Linked DNA regions of Xenopus tropicalis. The protein of the gene in region 1 interacts with the protein of each later gene in a biochemical or structural test. Links are inferred from orthologs where the notes say so. Each region holds a gene or a part of one and is shown in the gene's direction. Other genes may lie near its edges.

Region 1 (3,053 bases):
AGTAAAAAGTTCCTCTGTAGTATCCCCTATTAACATATGCCACCCAGACATTAAGAAAAAAGGCGTAAACTGTAACCATTTTGTCAGTAAAGTCTGTATTTGACAACAGGGTGGAAAATGTACACGATATTCTCACTGTCAAGCATCTTGCCTGCATTAAACAGAAATCCTTCCAGGCACAAAGTGATGTGAAATACTTCTTTCACATTTATCAGAAATTCTGTCACTAAACATACCATGAGCATGCCATAAACAGGACAAGTCATTTACAAGCACTAATAGCTTCTTGTAGCCAATGCTACATACCTCATCCATGAAATTTGATTGTTGAACTGTGAATAAATACTTTAAAATACTTAGGCTTAATTTTATATTCTTCTCTAATTTTTTCAGGTATTAAAGCGCCAAGGCTATGATGCAGCATGCGACATATGGAGTCTGGGTGTACTACTTTATACTATGCTGACAGGGTAAGTTAACATGATGCTTAAACCTTTCATCAGGGGCATATACAGAAATATACATAATAGACTTAACACTAGGTTATACTGATCAATGAGTGCAGGCTCTGCCCAGTTCAGTTACCTGCTCTTGAACCCATTAAAAATAAAATATAATGTGTGGTTACTGCTATTTGTAATACTGTATATTTTTCTCATATTTCAGATACACTCCTTTTGCAAATGGGCCAGATGATACACCAGAAGAAATCCTAGCAAGAATAGGAAGTGGAAAGTTCTCTCTAAGTGGTGGCTATTGGAATTCTGTTTCAGATATTGCCAAGGTCAGTTTGTGTGCAGATCAGTTACTCAGTATTCCTTATCTGCTGCTTTTCTGCAGTTTGTTGCATCATTATACAGCAATCTCCCAGACTTGCTTTGTCCCACTGAGTCAGCATTAAGATTGTTGCCACTCATAACAATAAGGTGCTTATTTGGCTGGTGCGCAGTGACTTCTGGTGCTGTTTGGATACTGGCTTCCATCTTTTAAAGTGGGGTAATTGCATTTGAAGTGCCATTCACTCAAATAATATTAATAGTATGAGGAGACAGAATTATTTCTGCTTTATAGTGGGATAGTCCTGATAAATAGGTATAATAGGGACAGCTGCATTTTAGTGTTTTTACACTATTTACAGATCAGTATATTGTGCCAAGCTCTGTTGTGTTGTGTTGGTGTTTTGTCCACTCTGGGTTCCCTGAGAGGGCAGTGGCTTCATATAAAGCGAGCTTCATATCCTATCTCATGATCAATTCTAAAGATGCTCATTTTGTTTAATAACTGTTTAGAAAGGCTGCTAAATATATTTTTATGCACTACCATAGGACCTAGTTTCAAAGATGCTTCATGTGGATCCACATCAAAGGTTAACTGCAGCCCAAGTACTCAAGCACCCCTGGATAGTACACTGTGACCAGCTGCCTCAGTTTCAGCTAAACAGACAAGATGCTCCACACCTAGTAAAGGTAATGTAGTGTATTTATTCTTCTAGACCAGCCTAAGGAAAGGTGGGGTGCCAAACCTTAGTTTCTAAGAAGCGGAAGAAAATGGCAGTGATGAGCTTTTATAGAAGTACCAAGGGCCAGTTCCGTTTTTAGCAAACCAGGGCACTGGCCTGGGGTTTTAGGCAGGAGATTCTAATCACTGGGAGGGGTGCCTAATATATTGGCATAATATATTTGTTTATATCATTAATGAATACTGCTATTTTAACTTTGCACTTGCAAAACTTGAACTTGCTTGTGGATACTTTCTATTAATCCCAGGGCAGCTGTCCAAGTGCATAGAATGAATCCATTATATACACATGGACAGTATCTGGCAATATGAACCATATAAAGAAAATCATAAAATAGTATTTAGCAGAATGTAATTTTTATTTCGCCGCATTTCAACATTTTGGGGATACAGAATTGTGTATTTATAAAGCATTACATTCTGTATTATGCCAACACTAAAATAAATGGCTACCCCTTTTGGAATAAAAAGTACAGCAAAATAGTAAATGTTTTCAGGGTAAATTACAGGGACCAGGGAAGAAGTGAAAGAGCACAGAAGCTGCACTGCCCCAGCCCCTTATGAATACAGTAATGCCGAACAGTTTTGGAGCACAGGGGCATTCGGAATTTGTTTAATCTAGGAAGGCAGTGTGCAAAAATTACATTTCTTAACTTGCCCTCACACCTTTGTGTTGTTTAATGCAGGGAGCCATGGCAGCAACTTACTCTGCTTTGAACCTTAATCCATTGTCTCCCGTTCTGGAACCCGTTGGTCGTTCAACTCTGGCTCAGAGGAGAGGTATAAAGAAGATCACCTCCACTGCCCTGTGAAAGTCAAGTCATCTGTAAGAGCAGCCTGGAGCTGAAGATTCACAGCACAAAAAAAATATTAAAGCCAACAGTGATAGCACATATCCTAAAGACACTCCGGCAAGCAAATGCTCACTGTCTCTGCCGGCTCTCATAATCAATGCTGCTGCTTCTGTCTGTTCTCAGTAGTTAAGTGATGGAAAAACCCATCCAACCATGCCAGGACTTTGTCATCTGTACAATGGAACTGTCCTTGGGTGAATCCAATAGACTCTTCACCTCTCAAACTGAAGAATACACTGAAAATGATACAAAACACAAAAATATCTCAACGGTGAACAGCATTATTTTTATATAAGTATTCGTAGTCCTCCAAAATAACGGGTTCTAGGTTCACTTTTTATTTGAGCACTTGCATACTTTCAGCTCTTTGTTCTTTAAAGCGATGGATAAAACATGCCACTCAGCCTTCTGCCGTTGCTTCTGGCATTGCTGGATAGATTCAACGTCTTGCCAATCTACCCTTCCCCACATTTTGTGTTTTTTATTCTTCTTTTTAGATCATCTTTGCCTTGTCTTAATACAGAATAAGATATAGCCATGGAATGATTGTGTGGACTTCTCTGTAAAATACAACTGTGGAATTTCTCATGAATGTATCACAACCTAGATGAGCAACAAGAACTGTTACTGTGGGATGACCGCCGTAATAGCTTTCAAACTGCAATAAGTTCAAGCATTATG
Region 2 (3,928 bases), on another chromosome or scaffold:
GACCTTAGATTGTAAGCTCACTGGGGCAGGGGCTGATGGGATAGGGACCTTAGATTGTAAGCTCACTGGGGCAGGGACTGATGGGAATGGGATAGGGACCTTAGATTGTAAGCTCACTGGGGCAGGGGCTGATGGGAATGTGATAGGGACCTTAGATTGTAAGCTCACTGGGGCAGGGACTGATGGGAATGGGATAGGGACCTTAGATTGTAAGCTCACTGGGGCAGGGACTGATGGGAATGTGATAGGGACCTTAGATTGTAAGCTCACTGGGATAGGGACCTTAGATTGTAAGCTCACTGGGGCAGGGACTGATGGGAATGTGATAGGGACCTTAGATTGTAAGCTCACTGGGGCAGGGACTGAAGGGAATGTGATAGGGACCTTAGATTGTAAGCTCACTGGGGCAGGGACTGATGGGAATGGGATAGGGACCTTACATTGTAAGCTCACTGGGGCAGGGACTGATGGGAATGTGATAGGGACCTTAGATTGTAAGTTCACTGGGGCAGGGACTGATGGGAATGTGATAGGGACCTTAGATTGTAAGCTCACTGGGGCAGGGGCTGATGGGAATGTGATAGGGACCTTAGATTGTAAGCTCACTGGGGCAGGGACTGATGGGAATGGGATAGGGACCTTAGATTGTAAGCTCACTGGGGCAGGGACTGATGGGAATGTGATAGGGACCTTAGATTGTAAGCTCACTGGGGCAGGGACTGATGGGAATGTGATAGGGACCTTAGATTGTAAGCTCACTGGGATAGGGACCTTAGATTGTAAGCTCACTGGGGCAGGGACTGATGGGAATGTGATAGGGACCTTAGATTGTAAGCTCACTGGGGCAGGGACTGATGGGAATGTGATAGGGACCTTAGATTGTAAGCTCACTGGGATAGGGACCTTAGATTGTAAGCTCACTGGGGCAGGGACTGATGGGAATGTGATAGGGACCTTAGATTGTAAGCTCACTGGGGCAGGGACTGATGGGAATGTGATAGGGACCTTAGATTGTAAGCTCACTGGGGCAGGGATAATGTATAATCAGTATGTGAATCTGTTGGATAGTAGTAGGTGCCGGCCCCTGAGCACTTACATGCCAGTAGCACACCGTGTATAGGCTGGAGATGGCCAGATGGCACCCAGTAACCCAGCAGCTGGCAGTAGAATATTCCCTACAGTGAAAGTTCCGACTCATGCAGCATTCCATCAATTTATTTACGCCGGACAAACCAAGCAAACACCCCCCCCCCTCCAAATTACACACTTCCTCTGTGTAGATGCTGCTATTCATTCTCTCCGTGTGCTGAATAATACAGAGCTCAGGGGCGCTCTCGCACACTCACACACTCTCTCGCACACTCGCACACACTCTCTCTCTGACATCACTCAGTACAAAGGGTGGAGTGAGAAAGCATTGGAATCAGTTGGGTCTGTGAAGGGGAAGGGAAATTCTCTGCTCATAGAGGGAAGCGGAGCCTGGCTGTCAGCTGAGTCACATCCACACAGGGACTAAGTGGCAGTCGGGCGCAAGGCACCCCATCCCTGGGCACTGAGTGGAGACAGTGGCACAGAAGGGGCTCTAGGGGGGCCACAGGAGCTTTGCCATCCATCTGGGGTACCCAGGACCAGAGTCTAAGGCTTGAGCTGAAGGATACGGTAAGACATGATGGGTGTGATTGTGTTTTTGGGGTGGGGGGGGGGGTGGATAGGATGTGGGACTCACAGGAAGGGAGTGGCTGCAGGGAGTAGTTGCTGTGCCCAACAGCTGGAAGTCCTTACAAATAGACCAGTTGCATGGCTGTCACTACTTATCCCGGGATGGGATTCCGGCAGCTGAAGTTTGTGCAGGGATAGTTTAGGGTAGGGCAGAAAGGGCATCTGGGGGGGCCCCACCAACAGCTGTATTCCACTCACTGCCCCTCCCTTACTCAGGGGCCCCAGACTCAGGAGCCCCACTCTCCCCATCCCTGCTTGCTGGATTGATGGAAAAGACTTTGTTGGACAGATCCTTAGAGTATGCAGCTGGGGTCCATGCCCACACCCATCCACATTCCTGCCCGTAGCTCCCCATTGGATCTGCCCATTCAGCGGGGCAGCACAGCCGGCATCCAGCAGGCACCGTGCCGGAATCGGCCAGCGGTTCTGGGTGGGATTTGGATCTTCAGAACTTCAGCTGCTTTTCCCCTGACTTGTGAATGACTTTAACCCCCCCCCCCCCAATGGCTAATTAGTTCCCAAACCCTTGCGGAAGTAGCAGCCCCCACCCCAGTAAGCCAGTAGCTGAAACAGTGCCGGAGGGGTGTGCCGGATAATGTTAAACCCCCAGATTATTGGCTCAGCCCCTGGCATTCAAAGGGTTAGTGCTGCATTTAACCCCCAGCTCCCTGGGCCAGTAAAACATAGTAAGGATATCCACCCTTCCCTTCACTGTGCCATCTCCGCCCGGTGGCAACGGTTCGATTCCCATTACATGGGGAAGGGGGTAACTAACCCCACATCTACCCCTTTTAAAGGGAAAGTTGCACTGCTGTACATCCAATACTGATAATTGTACTTCCCCCACCCTGACCTTATGGGAAGGCAGCATAGCTAAACCTGTAATACAGCATTAAGGGCATATAGGATAGGCTGCACGGCTGAACTACAACTCCCAGGCATTGGAATAGTACAGCGGGAGTTCAGCAATTACTGGGGGAATCTGGATACCCCCATTGAAAAAAGATATATGTATGAGATTAATGAGTGCATGTTATATACAGTTAATGCTACTACAATACACTAAATGGTGATATTAGGACTACATTTCCCAGCATCCCCAGCATTTATTCTGCTCTCATTGCTGTGCATTTACCCAGACGTTTTTCAGGGGTCGCGTCAAAATTCCGTAAATTCCCAAAAACTTAAATCAGTGAAAAACGCATTCAGGGACGTAAAATGGGGGTTCTACTGTACATAGAATCGATATTCCTTACGGCACGTGGAGGAACGTAAACTCTTCTGTCAAAAAACCTCTGCCTGCCCTCTCCTGGCGGCGTTCTAGCCCGCGATACGCGAAGGCAGCGCATTGATTATCTCTATCCCCTGCGGCCTCAGGCAGTGGGTATTAGGAAACCGTGTAATGCCGAGCGACAGGAAATCAAACGCTCCGACTGAGCGCAAGAGCACTGCTAGGGGCCACTATAATGCAGCAGGAATGTAGGGAAGGGGAAAGTGTTGGAAGGGTTACTGCCTGCTCTGCTCTCATTCCCCTACAGAAATAGGGGTTGGTAGCACTAGGTAGGTACCTAATATATAGGGGCAGAGACAGGGGAAAGTGTTGGAAGGGTTACTGCCTGCTCTGCTCTCATTCCCCTACAGAAATAGGGGTTGGTAGCACTAGGTAGGTACCTAATATATAGGGGCAGAGACAGGGGAAAGTGTTGGAAGGGTTACTGCCTGCCCTGCTCTCATTTCCCTACAGAAATAGGGGTTGGTAGCACTAGGTAGGTACCTAATATATAGGGGCAGAGACAGGGGAAAGTGTTGGAAGGGTTACTGCCTGCCCTGCTATCTGTGAATTATACTTATTAGTTCTTCCTATACTACAGGTGGGAGGAGCGGACCCCCTTATCCCACCCAAGTGATAAACATGTTCTCATTTAAAGCTCCCATAACAGCAATGGAATAGATAGAATCCCCAATCAGACGTGTCCCCGGCTAAGCTGCTCCCCCACCCCCCATAACATCTGCTTTATCTGCAGCTCTCGGGGTCAGTCCGTGCCTCGGCGCAGCCTGTGGGATATTTCCCTACGTTCCAGTGCATTTAGTACAATTCCCCAGTAGTCGGAACTGGCGGCGATTACAGTTAATATTGCCCTAATCCACTCCGGCCTCATCCCTGTGTATTAATCAAATGGAGAATAAATTCCCCTATCAGGATAATCCC

What was found.
Region 2: the proteins of rps6ka3 (region 1) and pea15 form a complex in vitro, tested with the Homo sapiens proteins (2 studies listed by BioGRID). The link is inferred for Xenopus tropicalis from reciprocal best matches to the Homo sapiens genes RPS6KA3 and PEA15.

Annotation. Positions count from the first base shown.
Region 1 is NC_030678.2:43,794,581-43,797,633, reverse strand, and holds part of rps6ka3 (ribosomal protein S6 kinase alpha-3), read left to right. Parts: intron 1-393; coding exon 394-470; intron 471-666; coding exon 667-784; intron 785-1,325; coding exon 1,326-1,466; intron 1,467-2,204; coding exon 2,205-2,330; 3' UTR 2,331-3,053. UniProt on the Homo sapiens protein: Serine/threonine-protein kinase that acts downstream of ERK (MAPK1/ERK2 and MAPK3/ERK1) signaling and mediates mitogenic and stress-induced activation of the transcription factors CREB1, ETV1/ER81 and NR4A1/NUR77, regulates translation through RPS6 and EIF4B phosphorylation, and mediates cellular proliferation, survival, and differentiation by modulating mTOR signaling and repressing pro-apoptotic function of BAD and DAPK1.
Region 2 is NC_030684.2:138,138,441-138,142,368, forward strand, and holds the start of pea15 (astrocytic phosphoprotein PEA-15), read left to right. Parts: upstream 1-1,441; 5' UTR 1,442-1,659; intron 1,660-3,928. UniProt on the Homo sapiens protein: Blocks Ras-mediated inhibition of integrin activation and modulates the ERK MAP kinase cascade. Inhibits RPS6KA3 activities by retaining it in the cytoplasm. Inhibits both TNFRSF6- and TNFRSF1A-mediated CASP8 activity and apoptosis.